Rattus norvegicus: one gene and its partners. The protein of the gene in region 3 binds, or shares a complex with, the protein of the main gene of each other region. Links are inferred from orthologs where the notes say so. Each region holds a gene or a part of one and is shown on either strand. Other genes may lie near its edges.

Evidence for each region.
Region 1: the proteins of Cnnm3 (region 3) and Ptp4a2 are in contact, whole or in part, in a crystal structure (PDB 5K25), measured with the Homo sapiens proteins. The link is inferred for Rattus norvegicus from reciprocal best matches to the Homo sapiens genes CNNM3 and PTP4A2. Residues at the interface, in NP_060093.3 of Homo sapiens: Leu390, His391, Phe392, Val393, Phe394, Asp396, Thr397, Glu405, Ala414, Gln417, Val419, Glu424, Gly425, Asp426, Pro427, Phe428, Tyr429; in NP_001356788.1 of Homo sapiens: Met1, Asn2, Arg3, Pro4, Asp69, Gly70, Cys101, Ala103, Leu105, Gly106, Arg107, Arg134, Arg135, Gly136, Ala137, Phe138, Asn139, Lys141, Gln142.
Region 2: the proteins of Cnnm3 (region 3) and Ptp4a3 are in contact, whole or in part, in a crystal structure (PDB 5TSR), measured with the Homo sapiens proteins. The link is inferred for Rattus norvegicus from reciprocal best matches to the Homo sapiens genes CNNM3 and PTP4A3. Residues at the interface, in NP_060093.3 of Homo sapiens: Ser357, Asn358, Phe394, Asp396, Lys418, Val419, Asn421, Glu424, Gly425, Asp426, Pro427, Phe428, Tyr429; in NP_001425170.1 of Homo sapiens: Asn5, Pro7, Asp72, Gly73, Ala74, Val105, Ala106, Leu108, Gly109, Arg110, Arg137, Arg138, Gly139, Ala140, Ile141, Asn142, Lys144, Gln145.

Annotation. Positions count from the first base shown.
Region 1 is NC_086023.1:147,471,816-147,475,312, forward strand, and holds the end of Ptp4a2 (protein tyrosine phosphatase type IVA 2), read left to right. Parts: intron 1-326; coding exon 327-457; intron 458-1,742; coding exon 1,743-1,817; intron 1,818-2,705; coding exon 2,706-2,814; 3' UTR 2,815-2,993; downstream 2,994-3,497.
Region 2 is NC_086025.1:107,547,110-107,550,571, forward strand, and holds the end of Ptp4a3 (protein tyrosine phosphatase type IVA 3), read left to right. Parts: intron 1-971; coding exon 972-1,102; intron 1,103-1,640; coding exon 1,641-1,715; intron 1,716-2,407; coding exon 2,408-2,525; 3' UTR 2,526-2,840; downstream 2,841-3,462. UniProt on the Homo sapiens protein: Protein tyrosine phosphatase which stimulates progression from G1 into S phase during mitosis. Enhances cell proliferation, cell motility and invasive activity, and promotes cancer metastasis.
Region 3 is NC_086027.1:46,261,121-46,264,193, forward strand, and holds part of Cnnm3 (metal transporter CNNM3 precursor), read left to right. Parts: intron 1-232; coding exon 233-371; intron 372-2,348; coding exon of another isoform or gene 2,349-2,398; exon of another isoform or gene 2,399-2,447; intron 2,448-3,073. UniProt on the Homo sapiens protein: Probable metal transporter.

The DNA of each region.
Region 1 (3,497 bases), on a different chromosome or scaffold from region 3:
ACCCCAGCAGGAGAGTCTCTGGAGTTTAAGGCCAGCCTGGTCTACAGAGTGAGTTCCAGGATGGCCAGGGATACCCAGGGAAACCCTCTCTCTGAAACAGACACAGACTTGCACGCATGCACACTCGTGGTGTGAGGTGGTCAGTGGTGACTCACGCCTTTAATTCCAGCACATGGGAGGTGGGTGGGTCTCCCTGTCTCTGGGGGTGGGGGGGATTAAAAAGGAGTAGCTAAGCCTGTCTGTCCTGACTGTTTTCAGCTCTTTTTTATTAGGAAGTTAGTCCCTGAGAACATACCAGCTTGATGTAAGAAGTCATTTCTTTTCAGGACTGGCCATTTGATGACGGAGCTCCGCCCCCTAATCAGATAGTAGATGATTGGCTAAACCTGTTAAAGACCAAATTCCGGGAAGAGCCAGGCTGCTGTGTCGCAGTGCATTGTGTTGCAGGATTGGGAAGGTAATTCCTCTTTTTCTGAGATCTAAATAAGCTAAGCTTCTCATCGTGGCCGAATCTGCATTCAGTAATTAATTGATACTAAATCACCAAAAAGGAAGTGAGAAAATGCCAGTGTAATAAGCTCTAATAAGAGCCTTTTGGGTTGGGTCTGGATCTGATTTTAGTGCCATACTGAATGTAATGAAGGTCCTTGCCCCTCTTTCAAGAAGAGATTTAGGTCATTAAGTGGGTGACAGAATTACAATTGTTTTAGAGATTAAATTATCTGTACATGGTTGGGTTTGGATTGAAAGGAAAGGAAATGAACTTAGCAGGTAGAAGGTTACTTTAAACTCTTTAATAGAAATGTGTACATAATGAGAATTGTCTGTGAATGTAAAATCCTTCTCACCAAGCATTGCTTTTGATAGTGCTTTATACTTCGATCAACAGCAGGATAAATGCCAGTTTTATGGTGTGCACTGTGACTCAGAACATTACTGTGAGCTTAGCCCCTTTAGTATGGCAAGGTTTCTTCATGAGGTTGGAAGGTTCAGTTCTCCTGAAGGTTGATGGTGTGAGGCCTTCCTGGGTGGCTTTATCTCTATCGCCTGTCTCAGATAGTTGGAGGCAGTGCTCTATTAATGTGCTTTTAAAACATTTTTTCTTTTTTAAGAATAGAGACTATAGCTGGATGGTCGTGGCACACTCCTTTAATCTCAGCACTTGGGAAGTAGGAGCAGGTGGATCTCTGAGTTGAAGGCCAGCCTGGTCTATAGATCAAGGATAGCCAGGGCTACAGAGAAACCCTGTCTCAAAAAACAAAGAAAGAATTGAGAAGCTGAGTGCAGTGTAGTAGGAGGCAAGGATGGCTTGTGAGTGTTAGGCTGGCCTGCGCCTCATAGTAAGAACCTGCTGTAGAGGAGAACATCAGTTACTGAGTCGGAGCGGGAAATACTTTTGTTCCTGTATGTCCCCATTTACCCACTCCTATGTCTGTCTGTCTGTCTGTCTTGTCTGTCTGTCTGTCTATCTATCTATCTATCTATCTATCTATCTATCTATCTATCTATCTATGATACGTGGTCTCTTGTTTTGTAGTCCTGACTGCCCCAGAACTCATTGTGTAGTTCAGGCTGCCCTTGAACTCGAGGTTTGCCTGTCTTCCAAATGCTGGGATTAAAGGCATTTATGCCACTATACCCAACACAAGCTCAAGTTGGAAATGAGTAAGCTTTCAGGTAAAAAGTAAAACTCTTGGGATTCTCAGGGCTTGTGGAGACTTACGGACGGCTTCTCTCTACAGGGCTCCTGTGCTAGTTGCACTTGCACTGATTGAATGCGGAATGAAGTATGAAGATGCTGTTCAGTTTATAAGACAGTGAGTATGAAGCTGTATGTTCAGACACTTGAAGCGGGCTGTGCATGAGGAAGAGGTTATGGGATGGAGTCATTTGGAATATACAAGCACTGGCTGCTTTGGGCTTAAGACACTAAAGGTAGAAAAAGAAAGGTTAAGGCAAGTGACAGAGACTGAATACCATTGGCATTTGTGGATTGTTGTTCTGATTTTGATGTCAGTATATCGTTGGATGTCTAGGAATCCCGACAGTGATTATTGATCAGTGCTGCTTGTATTGGATTTTATAACAGCACCAGTGCAGCTCCATAGGACCAGCAGGCAAAAGCAGTGCATGAATTGCATGAAGGAACAGTCATCACTTGGCAGTCTTGAGAGAGTGGCTGTTCTCATACACATATCCCCATAGTCCGGGCATTGATCTGAAATCATAGGCCATATTGTTCCTTTCTTTAACAAAATTAGAGCATGCACATCTGTCCTGAACCTGAGGCTTTGTCTTTGTAGGTTATTTTTTAAAGCATCCTAATCCCTGTTTGTCATTCTGATCTGAAGACTCTGTTAATCTAAAAGGAAAGAGTGATCTGGTGTTCAAAACCCTGCTGGTTTCTGTTAGACTACAGTAACAGGCAGAGAAAGAAACTTGGGAGGCAGAGGCAGGAAGAGTCTGAGTTTGAGCGGTTTATACCACAAGTTCCAGGACAGCTAAGGCTACACAGAGAAACACTGTCTTGGAAAACCAAAAGGGATGAAAGGTCATGTTTCAACTTTCTCAAGTAATGAGGTATGGGGGTAGGCAGGCTTTTAGCTAGGGAGGGCGAGCTAGAAGGCGTTAGTCTACTGACAATGCATTTCAGGAAGCTGTACAGTTGTTTGCTACATGACAGCGCACTGCTCTTGTATTTTCAGAAAAAGAAGAGGAGCATTCAATTCCAAACAGCTGCTTTACTTGGAGAAATACCGACCTAAGATGCGATTACGCTTCAGAGATACCAACGGGCACTGCTGTGTTCAGTAGAAGCAGAGGAAGGCCGGCTGGATCGTGGCATTAGAGGGAACTCTGGGTACCTGGAAATGTGAATCTGGATTCTTACCTGTGTCATCAAAGTAGTGATGGATTCCGTACTCCTCGACTCCTCATGATTGAGAAGAAGGCAAACGATAAAGAAATCCCTCTATAACACGAATAAAATGTTTAAGAAAAGAAAAAAGAAAGGAAAAGGGATTAATTTAGTGAAAGATGATTTTGCTCCTAGTTTTGGAGTTTTGATTTTTGCCAGGATTGAATTATTTCAAATCTCCTGTGTTTTTTAAGCTTTTTCAAAATAGATGTCTGAGGAAAACCAGCAGAATATTAACCAGTGCGGAGCCAGTTGTTGGGGAGCACACACTTCCATTATGCTTGGCACATAGGTCTCCTTGTGGTGGGATTTGGGGGAGGTAGATTTTCCCTCTCTCCTGCCTCCCTCCCTTCTCCTGATAGACGTAGATGGAATAGAAAGAAACCCTTGTTGCTGTAGATGTGCGTGTGTCTGGCAGCCTTAAGCCCACCTGGGCACTTTTAGGAAAAAAAAAAAACCAAAAAATAAATAAATGAATAAATAAATAAAAATAAAAGCAAAGAAAAAGCAGTGGCGCATATATTCTATGGTCCAGGCGGTTTCTAGTCTGTTGATAATGGATGCTGATGTTAGTTTTTTT
Region 2 (3,462 bases), on a different chromosome or scaffold from region 3:
TGGGGCTCAGCATGTGCTTGCCTGGCTATGCTTTGCTATGGCTCCCAGGGGCCTCTCTTCAGCCTCTCATGGCCTGCCATGTGGGAGCCCATCTCCTGGCAGCAGTGGGTCCCGGGAGATGCTGTGCAGAGGCCATGGTCCTAGCTGCTGTTTCCTTAGCTTCCTTACCCTGGGGGCTCAGCTAAGGGGAGGAGGAGCAACTTTGTGGAACTGGTCATAGTGCTGGGAGGCCAGAGGAGAGACAGCCATAGGAGCCGCCTCTAGCCTATTGCAGTTTCCTGGAACAAGGCCTCTCTTCCCAGTGCAGAGCTCAGATGAGCCACGCCTTACGCAGCAGACCCTGGCTGACTGTGCAGAGGCCCTGGCGCCCAGCCCACAGCACCATAGTGACTCTAGTTCACCCCACTGTGGGGACCCTGTGTCAATGGGGTCTCAAATCCACTGCCTATCAGTTTGTAGAGGAAGAAGACCTTGGGCTCTCTCAGGCCTGGGGGAGGGGAGGGAGTCCTGTTGAGCCTTCCCTCCTGTGAGGTCCTGCAAGCCCAGGGCCTCCCATACTGTGGTTGTTTAGGGGAATGTGAGCACGAGGCAAAGGTATATCAGCATCTCTCAGTGCAAGGTTGCCCCAGCGGACCTCCTTCCTTTGTCACAGGAGGGATTTGGGTTAGACTCAGGATGGCCACTTAAACTGGAGGCCTCTAGGAGCTTCTGTTTGGAGGCAGAGACCCCAAGGACTCTTTCCCAACATCTAGCTCCTGAAGACCCATGTTGGTTCACCCGTTCGTACCAATAGGTTCAAAATGGTCCCTTCTCCATCTTCCCCACATCTTCCCCACACCAAGCTCCAGCATACCCTGGGCTGGAGCCTTCTCCTTGTGGGCTAGCCTCTGCCTCCCACATGGAAGTCTTAAGGGACAAGGGAAGGAAAACTAACATCCCTAGGGCAAGTCCTCAGGCCTCTTCCTCTGCAGGACTGGCCCTTTGATGATGGGGCGCCCCCTCCTGGCAAGGTGGTAGAGGACTGGCTGAGCCTGCTGAAGGCCAAGTTCTACAATGACCCGGGCAGCTGCGTAGCTGTGCACTGTGTGGCGGGCCTGGGAAGGTAAGTGACAGGTGGGGCTCATGTTGCTGTTGGAGGCTCCGCTTACACCCCTGTAGTCTAACTTTATTGCTTCGTGCATTTGGATGTGGGTTACATCTGCTATACCTAAGGCCCGGGGAGGGCTTCCTGTTCTGATCCAGTCACTGCACCTCATGCAGAAAAAGAGCTGCCACAAAGACATGCTGGTCATCCAGGCCTGACCCCAGCTTGGGAGAGAACAGCTGCTCACACTAGATGGAAATGAGCCAGGCAGGAGAGCGTCCCCGGACACTCGGATTGCAGGAGGGCTGGAGGGCGGACTCATTCAGTATGCACATAGTTCTTTTTCTAGGTGCTTAGGCACAGAGAGGTTGTCTGCATCCCTCAGGCTGAACAGGAGGGGCCAGACCTGTCTGGAGTCCGTGCTCTCCAAGGGCAACTGAGGGAATTGGGGGTCAGTTATGCCCTCATGCCCCGTGTCTTTGTCAGGTAGCACGAGGCAGGGGGATGAGAAAGGGTGCGGAATCTCAGGGAACTTCAGCTCTGCTTGTTCCCACAGGGCTCCAGTGCTCGTGGCTCTCGCTCTCATCGAGAGTGGGATGAAGTACGAGGATGCCATCCAGTTCATCCGACAGTGAGTAGCCAATGTGTGGGCGGAGCTTTAGCGCGTGTGGGCGGGGCTTAGGGAATGGGGCGGGTCTTGATAGCTGGGCGGGGCTGAGGCTGTCCCTGTGGCCTTTCCTTGCCCCTCGCCTCTCACTTCTGTAGCCTTTCCTGTGAAGTCCCCTTCTCTACTCTCCCTGGATGCTTCCAGGCCGATACCTCCTTGTGGTATGGTAGCCTTCCTGGAGGACCCCCATCTTCCTGATCTTTCTGGGCAAAGACTGCACAGCTGACACTGTACCCCTAGCCTGTGGCATGTGTGGGACATATCTATGTATAGGCACCTCTGTGCTGCCTGAAATAGGCACAGCCATCTCTTGTTTCCCTGGGGCAGTCCCATAATGGCTGTAGTAGTACGGCCTACTGGTCTGCAGAGGTCCGTAGGGGAGCCTGGGCTATGCAGACTGGTGTGCAACCTGAAGAACGGCACTAAATACAGACTCACAGTTCTCTTGTACAGCACTGAGGAGGTGCTGGCTGGCTAGGGAGAGATGCGCTCCCCAGCCTTCACGAAGCCCAGGCCTCCCTGTTTTCCCTGGAGCACCAGCTTAGTCTTATTTCCTGTGGGTCTGTCCAGTCAAGGCCTCCAGGGTCTGGAGCTCCCAGGGGCAAGCAAGGTGTCCAAGCCAGACTTCATGACCCAGCGTTTGTCCTTGTCTGCAGGAAGCGCCGTGGGGCCATCAACAGCAAGCAGCTCACCTACCTGGAGAAGTACCGGCCTAAGCAGAGACTGAGATTCAAAGACCCACACACGCACAAGACCAGATGCTGCGTCATGTAGTGCGGGTTCTGGCTCTGTACGCCCTGTACTCCATTACATCAGGGTCTAAGGAGTCCAACGGCTGTGTGCGTTCCTGCTCTGTCCCCATCTGTGCCCACGGCTGTCTTTCTGAGGCCGTCCCTGGACCTTCTGCCAGTCCTGTCCAACCCCTCCACCCACTGCCCGGGCCTCTTCCCCCTGGCCTGTGTATCGCAGGTGGGCTCTTTTTAACCACTGGGCCGAGAGCCTCAGCGGCGGCGCCCTCACCCTCACCTTTCTCCAGCACCTTTGTTACCAGGTGCTCTGGACTCTCAAGGCAATAAATCAGGAGCTGTGGATGTGTGTGAAGAGTGATGCAGAGCCAGGAATGGGGTGTGGGTCCTGGGAGGCCATGGTCTCCATCTCTTCCGTCCTATTGCTGCTGCTGCTGCTGCTGTGCGCCTCCTTGGCGCCCTCTGGTGTCCATACAGTGCTCTGCACCCTGCCTTGTTTAAGCTCTTGACACATCAGCACCGAGCCACAGCTTGGACTGGTGACAGTTGAGGACTGAATCACCTCTTCAGGTTAGAGCAGGGGTCACTTGCAACGTTCAGTGACCTCCATTCCCCACCTTCATGCGACCAGTGGTTTGGGGTACAGGTAGATCTGAGTGTGGTGGACTTGGGTGACGTGGGTCTGCTTAGGACACCCTCATCCTGCTCATAAGTTCTGAGCAGTGGGCTGGCTGGCCCTTCCCTTAGCCGAGTAAAGGGTGGCACGAGGGACAGTGTCAGTGTGGATGTACCGTCTGTCTTACGGCATGGACACACTTCTGGACGTGATCCTCAGGCCTTTGTAGACCCAGTCCCTGCTGTACCCAGAACAGACCCAAGGTGCCTGTAATTACTGCCTGCTCGGATGGTTCCCTTTTCAAGTTCCACCTAACTGTGGACTAGGTCCCAGAAACCATTAGGGCCCA
Region 3 (3,073 bases):
CCCTAAGTGGTGGGGCCTCCTGTGACCCTGGATGTTGGGACCTGGGCCTGTGTGGAAACCTTACATCTGCTCTCTCTATTGGTGATCCTAACACTAGGCCCAAAACCAAAACCCCTTTGCCTTTCACCAGTTTAAAGTCCCGCCTGTCAGAGGCCAGAGGCGGGAACCCTGCTGTCTGTCTGTCTGTCTGTCTACATCTGCTAGGTAATCTCTCCATTCTCGTGTCCTCTAGGTCACACGGCTGCAGTACCTTAATGCACTCCTGGCTACCCGAGCCCAGAGCTTACCTCCATCTCCAGAGAACGCTGAGCTCCAGGCCATCCCGGGCAGCCAGACCAGGCTCCTTGGTGACAAATCCAGAGAGACAGCAGGTAAGTACCACACAGTGCATTGTGAAGTGCTGGGGCCCAGGGTTATGTGGGACGCCGCTTCTGCTCCCTGTCTCCCATCCTTCTGTTTCTCTGTGCATCCTTTTCCTTCTTGCCGTTTGTAGGGACTTAGATTATACCGAATTATATAGATCAGCTGGCACTCCAAATAGAGCCCAGCCTTTTCTCTCTGACCTCTTGGAGATGGCTTAATTGGTTCTTGATGGATGGGGAGATGTGTAGTTTAGAAACACTCAACCCACTTAAGATCAAGGTTAGGTCTAGAAAATTGGGTCCTGGCTCCGAGGACCACTTGGTGTGGAGCTGAGTCAACAACACAGTGTTGACAGTGAAGGTCTGTAGCGCTGGAAACAGAAGGCGCCTGGGTGGGGGACGGTTTGCATTGTGGGTAGGCACTGGCCTGCCTAACAGTCCCTGGTGTGGGGTTTTCTGTTGTTTGTTGATCAGTCCTTGGATAAGGCTCAGGATTGTCATGATGAGCCTGGGAAGTATTCTGGAAAGCAGGCAGGCAGGCAGGCAGGCAGGCAGGCAGGCACTGTCCCTCACTCCATTCTGCCACCTGAGGGAGCCAAAGCATTCACTCTGCAAGCACCATATTTAGAGCTGCTGTCTCCACTGGCAGAGCTACCCAGCCTGAGAGGTGGGAATGCTGGGCCTGTCCAGTACAGGAGGGCCGGCGGCTCCAGCCTCCCAGGAGCTTAGAGCTACGGCCACCTGAGATCACAAGCACGTTTTTACAGTAGTACTGCTTTCTGAATCAAGAGGCGTGGCGATACACAGGTACAGAGGACAGAGACCCATGGCGCTGAGCCACGGTGATGACTCAGCCCTGTGGGCTATAGCTCTAGTATTCCTGAGGGACAGCCTGTGAGGCGAGGCAGACCTTGCAGTCCTAGCCGTGGGCACGGGTCACCTTCACTTTCAGAAAGGCAGGTTTAGACCATGTCTCAGTGCTTACCACTGCCTTGTGCAATACCCCAGAGCAGAAGTTCACACGGTCACGTTAGCTCTATCGAGACTTGTTTTCAACATGAACTCAGACTGTGCAGGCTGTTTTCAGTGTGCAGACCTGAGCTGGGGACAGTAGTGCTTTCTGAGGGTGCTTTCCACTGGGGATTTTTTTCCCCTCCTTCCCTCCTCCCCCTTCTGTCTTCCCCTTCCACTTCGCTTCCTCCTCCTCTCCTCCTTCCCTGCCTCTAGAGCCTTGCCCACAATAGGTGGCTTTCTACCATTTGAGCTGCACCTCTGGTCTCAAGAGATCGTTTCCATTCCTCTTGACTTTGCCGACTCTTGAGGCTATCCTATGGGAGAGGACTTAGAGTGGCTTGTGGGCCATTTCTTCTGTGTAACAGTTTATCCACCCTGTTTGCCAGCCTAATGTTGGCAATTTTCACCTAAATATGATCCGATGCTTGCCACATTGAGATGGACCTAACTCTGGGGTCTCCCTGTGTTTGTCCCCAACTCTGAGATCAGTGTTACTGCACAGAGCTGGTTTCGGTGGAGCACTGATTAATACAGAGAGAGACTCAGGTCCTGCAGACTTGGGCACTAAATCCCTGACAGAAAAGTGACATTGTTGAAATGTTTGAAAGGTATAAGAACTTTAAATTGCTACATTGGGAGTCGGCAAACTGTGGTACAGGAGCCTCATTTGGCCGACGCATGAGCTCATAAATAAGGTCTTATTAGGGCCTTATTAGGGCCCGTCTGTTTGGGTTGTGCCTGGCTGCCTCTGAGTGGCAGAGGTGCAGCTGAGTACTTGGGACATCAGGTGACCTGCAAAACCTAAACTCTTGGCCCTTTGCCAAGTTCTCTGAGTCCTGGTGAGTCCTGCAGCCCTGCGATTGGTGCCTTCCCAGCAACCCTTGCATGGTACAGAGCTTGATGTGGAGCTGAAGCGGGTCCCTGCCACTCGTCATCAGCCTGTCTCCTTCTCTCTCTCTCTGCTCTCTTCAGCCTTCCCAGTTCACCTTCCCCTCTTTGGCACACTTGGAAACTGCAGTTGATAAATGACTGTGGACTAGTGAGCATTTTTTGTTTTAAGAGAACACCAAGGTAAATATCTCCCTCCCCCTTTTCTTTGCTTTCCTTTCCCACCCTTAGCTGTTGGCCGACACTTTGGGTAGCTTCCCAGGCTGGGGCGCTTCTCTGTGGGAGGAGTCGGGAGAGGTACTGTATTTCACTTTCCCGGTATTTACTTTTTCTAGAAGACGGGGATATGAGACACCTGGTTAGTCCTGGAACACTAGGCTTCCTTGTAACTGGAGCACAGCAGCTCTTGGCCATCCACGGAAGCTCTTTTTGCCCAGCATAGCTGCCTTGAGCCTCCCGTAGTGAAAACTGCATAGCACCCTGTAGGCACCATGACTCGTGCCTATAATCTCAGCACTCCAGGATGAGGGAGGATGAGGATGAGGCAGGAGACTGCCTTGAGTTTGTGGTCACTCTGCACTACATGGTGAATTCCAGGTCACCCAGCAAGACTTTGTCTCAAAACAAAATAAGGGCCGGCCATATGGCTGCGTGGGTAAAGATGCTTGGTACTAAACCTGGTGACACAGGTTTGGTCCCCAGGGCCTTAGAAGGTGAGAACTGATTCTCAGAGATGCCCTTCTGACCGCCACACTTCTGACACCCCAACACATGCATACCCTCACATGTGCGTATGGACACACCAAATA